Macaca fascicularis: one gene and its partners. The protein of the gene in region 3 interacts with the protein of the main gene of each other region in a biochemical or structural test. Links are inferred from orthologs where the notes say so. Each region holds a gene or a part of one and is shown on either strand. Other genes may lie near its edges. The genes, in order: AHR, FKBP5 and HSP90AA1.

What was found.
Region 1: the proteins of HSP90AA1 (region 3) and AHR form a complex in vitro, tested with the Homo sapiens proteins (2 studies listed by BioGRID). The link is inferred for Macaca fascicularis from reciprocal best matches to the Homo sapiens genes HSP90AA1 and AHR.
Region 2: the proteins of HSP90AA1 (region 3) and FKBP5 form a complex in vitro, tested with the Homo sapiens proteins (5 studies listed by BioGRID and IntAct, with this or other methods). The link is inferred for Macaca fascicularis from reciprocal best matches to the Homo sapiens genes HSP90AA1 and FKBP5.

Annotation. Positions count from the first base shown.
Region 1 is NC_088377.1:112,901,175-112,904,923, reverse strand, and holds the start of AHR (aryl hydrocarbon receptor), read left to right. Parts: upstream 1-1,135; 5' UTR 1,136-1,774; coding exon 1,775-1,839; intron 1,840-3,749. UniProt on the Homo sapiens protein: Ligand-activated transcription factor that enables cells to adapt to changing conditions by sensing compounds from the environment, diet, microbiome and cellular metabolism, and which plays important roles in development, immunity and cancer.
Region 2 is NC_088378.1:136,110,687-136,114,335, reverse strand, and holds part of FKBP5 (peptidyl-prolyl cis-trans isomerase FKBP5), read right to left. Parts: coding exon 3,498-3,649; intron 749-3,497; coding exon 509-748; intron 1-508. UniProt on the Homo sapiens protein: Immunophilin protein with PPIase and co-chaperone activities. Component of unligated steroid receptors heterocomplexes through interaction with heat-shock protein 90 (HSP90).
Region 3 is NC_088381.1:170,187,731-170,191,479, reverse strand, and holds the start of HSP90AA1 (heat shock protein HSP 90-alpha), read left to right. Parts: upstream 1-986; 5' UTR 987-1,045; intron 1,046-1,643; coding exon 1,644-1,805; intron 1,806-1,894; coding exon 1,895-2,261; intron 2,262-2,581; coding exon 2,582-2,715; intron 2,716-3,009; coding exon 3,010-3,330; intron 3,331-3,445; coding exon 3,446-3,611; intron 3,612-3,749. UniProt on the Homo sapiens protein: Molecular chaperone that promotes the maturation, structural maintenance and proper regulation of specific target proteins involved for instance in cell cycle control and signal transduction.

The DNA of each region.
Region 1 (3,749 bases), on a different chromosome or scaffold from region 3:
CCAGCTATGGTAGAGAACTGCTCCTCCAACTTTATGTACATTTGAATCACCTGGGAGTTCTTGTGAACTTCTGGGTCTGATTTAATATGGACACCCAAAGAGTCTGCATTTCTTATAACTCTCATAAGAAGCTGTGGAGTACTCTGAACAGCAAAGTACTGGAAGTGCTGTTTCTGTTAGTATCTAAACTATTAGTCCTAATCTCCCATTTATGCTTTGGCACTCATTCCCTCCTGCTTTCGCTATCTTAATATATATCACTCCTTAACTGTTCCCTCAGGTTCCCTACATAGTTTATCTCCACCCCTCTAAGCTGCTCAGTATCACCCATTAAAGAACTAAACCAAAACAAAACTAGAAAACCCTCATTTAACCCTTCACTCCCCCTACATACCATCTGATGTGTCTCTCATCCACAGTTAAACTTGGAAGAATTGTCTGCTTGAGGATGCCATTTCATCATCTCCAGCAATCCTGTACCCACTTCAATGTTATTTGCAGGCCCATTACCCCACCAACACAGCATTCACGAAAATTATCAATGACTACACACTGAGAAGACAAGAATGACATTTTCAGTTCTCCTCTAATTTGAATTTCTCAACAGCATTCAATACTGTTAACTACTCCCAATATTTTTCCACATTGTCCTCCATGACACAACACATAATAGTCCCTTATTATCTATTTTCCTGTCTATTGTAAAGACTTCCCCCCACCCCAAAAAAGGTCAAGAAAACCCCTAGCCTTCAAGTCTCAACTGAAATCTGGCCTTCTGAAGCCTCCCCAACTAGGAAAATATATAGTCCCATTGGTTGTCTACCAGTTAATTGTAATTCTTAGCCACAAGTCAGCTGAACCACCGTCTCTCAAACAGGCGAAGTTAAGCTCTATATTTGGCATATCTTGATATACTTTGTATAGTCTAGCTACAATGAGTTTGCCTATGCACGAAGATGGCTACCGGCGGGGGGGCGTCGTTACGTCCTACGTCATCACGTGCCGGGATGAGGGTGGGGCCCTCAAGGAAGATGGAATGGAATCCAGATGGGCGGGGGCAAGCAGGACGGGGCGGGGCTACGCTGGATCTGGGCGGGGCGGGGCCGGTGAGGGGTCGGGGGTGCTTGTGCTATTCAGCCGGTGCGCGCGGCGGCGGGAGGCAGCGGCTGGGGAGTCCCCTCGACGCTCTGTTCCGAGAGCGTGCCCCGGACCGCCAGCTCAGACCAGGGGCAGCCGTGTAGCCGAACGTAAGCTAGGAGCAGCCGGGACTGGTGGCTGGCCCCCGAGCTCCGCAGGCGGGAAGCACCCAGGATTTGGGAAGTCCCGGGAGCAACGCGGCGGCGCCTCCCTCACCCAAGGGGCCGCGGCTACGGTCACGGAGCGCGGCGGCACCGTGAGCGACCCAGGCCAGGATTCTAAATAGACGGCCCAGGTTCCTCCTCTGCCCGGGCCGCCTCACCTGCGGGCATTGCCGCGCCGCCTCCGCCGGTGTAGACGGCACCTGCGCCGCCTCGCTCGCGGGTCTCCGCCCCTTGCCCCCCCTTTCGGCGCCAGGCCCGGGCAGCTCACCTGGACTGGCGCGGGCTGCGGGAGCCTGCGGTAGCCGAGGCGCGGAGGCGCAGCGCCCACGCCACTGTCTGGAGAGGACGCAGGTGGAGCGGGCGCGGCTTCGCGGAACCCGGCGCCTGCCGCCGCCGTCGTCCCGGCAGACACCAGGTCCCGGGGACCCGGCCGCCAGTGCCCGGGGAGTAGCCGCCGCCGTCGGCTGGGCACCATGAACAGCAGCAGCGCCAACATCACCTACGCCAGTCGCAAGCGGCGGAAGCCGGTGCAGAAAACGTGAGTGTCCCGAGCGCGTCCTCATCGCGGGGGCTGGGCGCACAGGCACGCGGGTGCGGGAGGCAGCCCCACCCCGCCCCCAAATCCCTGCGATCCTGGGGATTAGGTTCATTCCCGGCACTGCCCGTGGAATCGAGGTTTGGAGGCCGGTCGGGAGACCGAGGACTTGAATTCTCGCGTTTTCAATGATTGCATTTTAAAAATTGTCCTTCCACCCATCCTCTTCTCCCGCACCGGTGCATACACACCCTCTCACATTTGTAACTTTGTTCTCTCTGATTTGGTCCTGATTTGTTGACAGCTCTGATCTGCCTTGGGCTAATGGATTAGTTAGTATAAACCTGTCTTGAAATCTCCTTCCACTTTTAATATCCGCATGCGTTAGGTTAGAGGACAGTCTTAATTCTCATTCTTGGTAGAGTTTGGTAGGGCGAGATGTTTTAAAGAGCTAAACACGTGCTGACTTTTACGAAGGGGCTGAGTGCCTCTAAAGGTACTTTTTGGTCCCCACCTACTGGCTTTCTGTTGCGCTCTTACTTACTTATTTGGCAGCAGTTTTGTAGCGCTCATCGTGACCATATCGGTAAAGTGGATAGACGTGGTAGCAGGTGGGAGTGGATGCAACGGACAGGATACGGTGGAGGATTTGTATTCTTCAGACATCTTTTTCGGAAGCTTGCTTATCACTTTTGGGGTGGCTTTAGAGTCTGTAACATAAAAGATTTAGAACTGCATTTGAGAGTGGTTTTCATTCTTAACATTTACCTCTAATTATTTTCCCCTTCCAAGTTTTGTTCTAATTGAGTGAGTACAAACTTGCTTTTGTCGTTGTCAGTTGATTTTGGTGGAATATTTGTGTGAGATGGCAAATACTTTATTTTCTTGTGTGTCAGAAAAAAGTATCCGTGCTGGAAACTTTTCCTGTTGTGTGGTGGTTGTATTCATGTGTTTGTTCCAATTTTTTTATTTCTAGTTTTATCTCTGAGTTACTTTACCTGCATGTTTTTCAAGTTTTCGTAAACAATTTTAAGAACTCTTAAACGTCTTCTCAGACCAAATCAGAAGTGTGCATTTTGCTTAGACTCCAACTGTCACTAATGGGAACCAGAAAAATAACACTTTAAGATTTACATTTAAAACCAGTTATTGGTTTAAAGTTTCATTCTAAAATTTTAGTTTCCTTTCAGAATTTCAGTTATCATAGTTCTTCAGAACTAGACTTGTGAATTGGCATTAACAGAGGATAATAATCTGTAAATAGACTGATTAAAATATGGAAGTTTTATGGTAGAGTGTGTTTTAAGGGAATGTTGTCAAACCAGCAGTTTTCTACCTTGGCAGTTTGAGACATCGGTTTATAATACTTTTAATTTTGTAGAATGATTTCTTATATTAAAGTATGTTTGTCTTATTTGACATTGTCCTTCATGGTTAAAGTTGGGAGGCATCACAAATGTCTGTTCTATGTGTTTATTAATGCAATAATATACTTAGCATCATATATAATAGGGACGTCATAGGTTTTATGTGTATAGTGAGAAAACAGGAAGCTTTCCCTGATGTGTTTTTAAGATACTGGGTTTCAGTTAGGGTGTTATAAAAGGACCTGGGTGGCTTTGTAAACAAAAACAAATGCCATAATTTTGTATTCATTATACAGTTTAACGTTTATGGATTTTAGTTACTTTGCGTAAAATGTACTTTTTATTAGATTATCCTAATATACTTTCTTAGTCTTTAATATGCTTGTATTAATTTCTTACAATATAACAAAAGTATTTTTCCCATTCACCCACATTTTATTTTGTTAGCATAGATGTTTATCAGATCTCTACCGAGCACCATATATTGCTTCTAATCATACAAATGCCTTAAATATCACCAGCTTCCTCTGTAAGAAAAGGCTAGTG
Region 2 (3,649 bases), on a different chromosome or scaffold from region 3:
TCGAGACCAGCCTGGGCAACAAAGTGAAACCCTATCTTTACAAAAAATTTAAAAAAATTAGCCGGGTGTGGTGGTGTGCTTGTCCCAGCTACTCAGGAGGCTGAGGTGAGAGGATCACTTGAACCAGGGAAGTCAAGGCTGCAGTGAGCCATGACAGCACCACTGCACTCTAGTCTGGGTGACAGAGTGAGATTCTAACTTGGGGGTGGGGAGTTGGTGCAAAATTGCTGTTTTTACCATTGAAAGTAATGGTAAAATCCATAATTACTTTTGAACCAATCTAATACATCTGAAGGGAATTTACTTTTCTCATCTCTCACGACATGTGCCTTTGGTGACTAGAACTGCCCTACTCAACCTTTGGATCCAAAGCATACTCAGCCTCAGATCAGATTGGAAATTGTTTTTCCTACTCTTGAGCCTCTTGGGTTAACTGTTCCTGTCCCCTAAAATCAAAGGGGCACGGCAGGCTCTTGATCCACCTGCATTCAGCGGGCTCTGCACACACCTTGGCATCCTGCTCTGCAAACTTCTTGAACATGTTGGCGTATATCCTGCGGTCCCGCTCGTTGTGCTCCTTGGCCTTTTTCTGGCACATGGAGATCTGCAGTCTTGCAGCCTTATTCTGGGGGTTTACTTCCAGCACTTTCTCAAAGTCACCCTTGGCTGACTCAAACTCGTTCATGAGCAGCTGGGCTTCACCCCTCCTATACAAGCCTTTCTCATTGGCACTGTCCAGTCCAAGGGCCTAGGAATAGATGGTTTATATTTTAGAAAGGATGAATTTTAATAAATTCAGCAAACAGCTTACCAAAGTTCTCTTGCCAAAGGAGATGGAAAAAGTGTATTTAAAAAATGGGGCTCAAGATAATTATATACTACTGATCAAAATTTACTACCCAAATTATTTTCTGCATTTAATGCAATTTCTAGAAAGATACCAAGGAGATTTGAGAGGGGGCTCTTGAGAAGTTCATTTTAAAGTTCATTGGAACAAGTAAGTGCCCAAGAATGGCTGAAAAAAAATGGGAAAAAAGAAAAAACTAAGAGGCATTGTCCTACCAGAGAAAAAGACAAACTTTAAAACTACTGAAATTAAGACTGTGTGGTTACTAGTATGTGGACAAACAGCTCAGTGAAACAGAACGAATCATTCAGAAACAGTCACGTGTCTGCATATAAAAACGTTTGAAAATGACAAGGGTGGTAATATGAATCAGTGGAGAGTTAACTTTAAAATAAATGGGGCCAGGACAGCAGCTATCCACGTAGAAAATAAGAGTTAAGGCTGAGTGCAGTAGCTCATGCCTGTAATCCCAGTACTTTGGGAGGCTGAAGCAGGTGGATCACCTGAGGTAAGGAGTTCAAGACCAGCCTGGCCAACATGGCGAAATCTTGTCTCTGTTGAAAATACAAAAATTAGCCAGGCATGGTGGCACGCGACTGTAATCCCAGCTAGTTGGGAGGCCGAGGCAGAATTGCTTGAACCAGGGAGGTGGAGGTTGGAGTGGGCCGAGATCATGCCACTGCACTCCAGCGTGGGTGACAGAGTAAGACTCTGTCTCCAAAAAAAAAAGTTAAATTCTAACCTCATATTGTAAGCATAAAAATAAATTCTAGATCAATCATATTTACATATAAAAAACCATAAAATGTTTCTATTGTTTTTTATTTTAAGATATTTAAAATCTAATTATTATTTTTTTGAGGCAGAGTCTCACTCTGTCGCCCCGGCTGGAGGGCAGTGCCTCAATCGCAGCTCACTGCAGCCTCTACCTCCTGGGCTCAGGCAATCCTCTCGCCTTAGCCTCCGAAAGTCTGGGGGTTACAGGTCACAGGTGTAAACCACTGTGCCTGGCCTCAGTTATTTTTATAATCTTGGTGTGGGGAAGTCTTTTCTAACTAGAAAGGAGAAGATAAATTTGACTACATAAACATTAAAACCTTCTTTAAAGAGAATGATATAATCAACAAAGCTAAAAGAAAATTGCTGGGGTGTGGTGGCTCACACCTGTAATCCCAGCACTTTGGGAAGCTGAGGCGGCAAATCACCTGAGGTCAGGAGTTCGAGACCAGCCGGGCCAACATGGTGAAACGCTGTCTCTACTAAAAATACAAAAACTAGCCAGGCGTGGTGGTGGGCATCTGTGGTCCCAGCTACTTGGGAGGCTGAGGCAGGAGAATCGCTTGAACTCGGGAGGTGGAGGCTGCAGTGAGCCAAGATTGTGCCATTGCACTCCAGCCTGGGTAACAGAGAAAGACTCCATCTCCAAAAGAAAAAAAAAAAAAAAAAGGAGAACAGGCTTCCTATTGCCAAAAATAGGGTTAACAGTGATGCTATATGACTGCTTCTGTCAATAGAAGACAGACAAATAATGTAGTCAAGGCTGTGCTGGGTGTGATACCTCACAACTTTAATCCCAGCTCTTTGGAAGACACCCATCTCTACAAAAATAAACTTAAAAATTAGCAGGGTGTAGTGGCATGCACTTGTAATCCCAGCTACTCAGGAGGCTGAGGTGGGAGGACAGCTTGGGCCTGAGAGTTTGAGGCTATAGTGCATTATGTTCATGTCTATGAATAGCCACTGCACACCAGCCTGGGCAAAATAGCAACACCTTGTCTCTAAAACAGAAACAAAACACACACACACTCTCTCTCCACTGTGTATGAAAAAAATGAAAAAATATGTATAAAATTAATAACCGGTCTTGGGAGACAGGATACGATAGGAAACACTGATCCACAAAATTAAAAAATAATCTCACAAAGAATGTACAAAATAGTTGCCTTGTTTTTCTTTTCCTTTTATGTCTACCTTTAAGATACATCCAATGATTAGTTTTTACTTTTACCCACAGTATAATATACACTGTTCACCCTGAGACCAGATACCTAAAATAGTATCAGCTGGTGTATATCAGAATGACACATAACGATACAGATGATAAACCATTGTTATTACTGTGTGTAAGTACTCAAAGACCAAAGAGAGTATTAATAAGACAAATGTAAAAATGAAAAGGCTGCTGATGCTCTGTGGACCTTTCAAATTATTTATGCATATCAGTGAATAAATGATTATAATAAAAATTGACCTACATATATGCTTTATATGAACAGTTGCAGTCTGTTAAAGTCCAGAAAAGCTTAAGTTAAATCTGCTCTTATTAAACTGAACCTGAGAAGTTATACATCTACTCTGATATATATACTACAGTTATAAGGAAGGTCACGGATAAAATTATTTAATTTTAATCAAAATTTTTCTTCAGAATGCATTATGACAAACAGTCCTAGGTATCATAAAAGTCTGGCTATAATAAAAATCTTGCTCAATTTCCCAATTCATACTGAGAAACAAATAATCCCAAACATTCAAATAAACAAAACAAAATGAAAAATCCTTCAATCTTTGGCTGAGAGGAAGCAAAAGACAGAGATGGAGAAAAGATCTGGAATATCTCAAGTCTATCTCACAGGAGACACGGCGTTACCTTGTCACAGCATTCGACAGCTTTGGTGTATTCTCTAAGCTTCAGGTAGCACATGGCCAGGTTCAGAAAGGCAGCAAGCAGAAATGATTCAGAAGCTTTTGATTCCTTTTCTGATAAACCATATTCCATCTCTAACCAGGATACTATCTTCC
Region 3 (3,749 bases):
GCTGCGGTGAGCCAAGATTGTGCCACAGCACCCCAGCCTGGGCGACAGAGGGACAGCCTGTCCAAAAACAAAAAAACACCAAACCTGTCTTTTAGGGAAGGTTAATCACCAAAATGTCAAGTGTTAGATACTTAATTTGGAGACCTCAAATCGATCGGCAAAACGATGGGCTTTTAAAAAGCATGCCGGGTGTAGCTGGGTAAGCATGAATTTATTCACCAAGGGCCCGATTCCCAAGCTAAGGGATCCTGAAGTGTGAAGGACATGGCTTCCGGGGAACCCAAAGGTAGGGAGCGCTCCTGAGCCAGCAGTGGGTCTGGAGACTCCCCGAGCGCGCAGGCCGCGGGACGGCGTCCCCTGCGCGCAGCAGCTAGAAGCCAACAGCCCAAAGGCCCCCAGGGAGCAGAGCCCCGCGATCCCGGCGCCGCCTGCGGCTGGGTTTTTTGGCAGCGGGCGCGCCGTCCGTGAGGATGACGGCTCCGGTAGTTTCCCAGGCGTGCGAGACCCGGGGCGCTCCCCGTCCACGCACGGCCCTCCCTCCAGGCGCGCCTCCCGCCCCAGCCCCGCATTCTGCGCAGCCCGGGTGACCAAACTACACCTCACTTCAAAGGCCCCCACGCCCGGGCGTGCCCTCCGCCCGCGCTCGGCAGGTGGGAGTGCAGGGAAGAGAGCGCGGGCGGCCCCAGAAGGCGCCCGGACCTTCCCGAGAATTCCAGGCCGCGCAGGCGCATTGAGGTCGGCGCGGGGGCGTGCGAGAGGCGCGGGGCGGTGATTGAGGGAAGGTTTCCCGGGCTGGGCCACGAGCAGGGCCTGCGCGCGCCAGCGGGAGGGGCGGGCCACGGCGAGGGCGAGGGCGCAGGCGCAGGCGCGCGGCCGCGGCGGCGGTTGGGGAGGGTTCTTCCGGAAGGTTCGGGAGGCTTCTGGAAAAAGCGCCGCGCGCTGGGCGGGCCCGTCGCTATATAAGGCAGGCGCGGGGGCGGCGCGTCAGTTGCTTCAGCGTCTTGGTGCTGCTGTGCGGTGGAACGTTTGCAGCCTTTTAGCCAAGGTGTGAGGGGCGGTTGTGAGGGCCTGTGGAGGTGGATTGGGGAGTGGGGGCGGTTGGCGCGGAGCGGAGGCTGTGGGGGCCGAACGGGAGCCCTGAACCCGCCAGGGCCGCTCTCCCGGGAGGCCGCGCTGCCTATTCCGGAGGCCGTGGGCCCGCTGCTGTCTCCGCAGCCCGCCTCAGGAATGGGCTGGGCGGCTGCTCCCCGAGGCTCCGCGGCAGCCCCGGAGCTGGCGCCGCACGCGAGCAGAGCGGCCCTTTGGCTGGGGGCCCCCCGGGCGGCCCAGCTGGGGCGCAGGCGGAGGAGGCCGCCCTGGCGGAGCCGCGGCCCGCGCGGGAGAGCACACGGGGTGTCGGTTGGGGACCGCGGCGCGGGACTGGGCCGGGCCTGCAGTGGCCTCCCGGAAGCGCGCACACGCTCGTGGTAGTTACCGCGCTCCGAAATGAGGTCATCCTTTGTCAGCCGCCCTTCTATTTTCGGTTTACTTAAACTTCGCAAATCTGCAATCCGGCTTTAAAAATATTGGGAGGACGCGATGGAATCTCGTGTTGCCCCTGTAGACGCTCTGCAGGGTTTTAAACCGGCGCGGTGTCGTTCCAGATGCCTGAGGAAACGCAGACCCAGGACCAACCGATGGAGGAGGAGGAGGTTGAGACGTTCGCCTTTCAGGCAGAAATTGCCCAGTTGATGTCATTGATTATCAATACTTTTTATTCGAACAAAGAGATCTTTCTAAGAGAGCTAATTTCAAATTCATCAGATGTAAGTCGTTTATTAACCCAGAATAGGATTTTGGTTTCAATATGAACTTCTTGGGGGCTGTATGCTTAATTAATATTTTGTGTTAATAGGCATTGGACAAAATCCGCTATGAGAGCTTGACGGATCCCAGTAAATTAGACTCTGGGAAAGAGCTGCATATTAACCTGATACCAAATAAACAAGATCGAACCCTCACTATTGTGGATACTGGAATTGGGATGACCAAGGCTGACTTGATCAATAACCTTGGTACTATCGCCAAGTCTGGGACCAAAGCGTTCATGGAAGCTTTGCAGGCTGGTGCAGATATCTCCATGATTGGCCAGTTCGGTGTTGGTTTTTATTCTGCTTATTTGGTTGCTGAGAAAGTAACTGTGATCACCAAACATAACGATGATGAGCAGTACGCCTGGGAGTCCTCAGCAGGGGGATCATTTACAGTGAGGACAGACACAGGTAGGTACCTGAACACTCACTGGTTAAGTCAGTGGCGGAATGGTGGGGTGTTGCAACCCTTGGACCCCTGGGGATGCGGCGAAGTTCACAGAAAGTGTGTTTACCCAAGGATCAGGAACAAGCTAGAGCTCTGAATTAGTGTGTAATGGCATGACTTGGTGATTACTTCTTTTGGGCAAGGCACTTAGATCTGCTGTGGGAGCCTTTGCATCTGTAGTAAGGGCAAACCTCGCTTCATAGACACGTTATAAGGGTTAAGCATGGCGTTGAGCACTAAATTGAATGTATTATTGAGTCAATTTTCCTTATTTCTCTTGCAGGTGAACCTATGGGTCGTGGAACAAAGGTTATCCTACACCTGAAAGAAGACCAAACTGAGTACTTGGAGGAACGAAGAATAAAGGAGATTGTGAAGAAACATTCTCAGTTTATTGGATATCCCATTACTCTTTTTGTAAGTTTCTACATAATTGCAGAGTGAATTACTGTCTGTAGGTGACTGGGGTGACTGTACTACATCCTTAGTTCCTAGGTCTGTTGAACTAGTCTGAAGCCTGGGGAACCTAAGCTCTACTAACTGTGAAGGTTCCTCGGGTTATTAAGTAGATATATCAAATATTGATGAGAAGCTGCCTGGCTGCTTCTCATCCTCGGTAATTTAGGCTTTGGCCTTAGGTTGAAAGTAGTGGGGCAGCGCTATGACTTAGTTCTAGAGTGCAGCAGTGATGCGATTTCATGTCTTTTGAAGGTGGAGAAGGAACGTGATAAAGAAGTCAGCGATGATGAGGCTGAAGAAAAAGAAGACAAAGAAGAAGAAAAAGAAAAAGAAGAGAAAGAGTCTGAAGACAAACCTGAAATTGAAGATGTTGGTTCTGATGAGGAAGAAGAAGAAAAGAAGGATGGTGACAAGAAGAAGAAAAAGAAGATTAAGGAGAAGTACATCGATCAAGAAGAACTCAACAAAACAAAACCCATCTGGACCAGAAATCCCGACGATATTACTAATGAGGAGTACGGAGAATTCTACAAGAGCTTGACCAATGACTGGGAAGATCACTTGGCAGTGAAGGTGAGTGAGGGACTGATGGATGCTTCAAGCTTGTCTTTAGATTATCATCCCACCACCCCAAATATCTGCTATAATGCATTGTTCATTGATACTTAGTGTGTTTGTTCTATTACAGCATTTTTCAGTTGAAGGGCAGTTGGAATTCAGAGCCCTTCTATTTGTCCCACGACGTGCTCCTTTTGACCTGTTTGAAAACAGAAAGAAAAAGAACAACATCAAATTGTATGTACGCAGAGTTTTCATCATGGATAACTGTGAGGAGCTAATCCCTGAATATCTGAGTAAGTATAGATAGGAAAAATAATCACTGTCACTGATTAAAGAAATACTTCTGGCTGGGCATGGTGGCTCACACCTGTAATCCTAGCAGTTTGGGAACCCGGGGTGTGCGGATCACTTGAGGTCAGGAGTTCAAGACA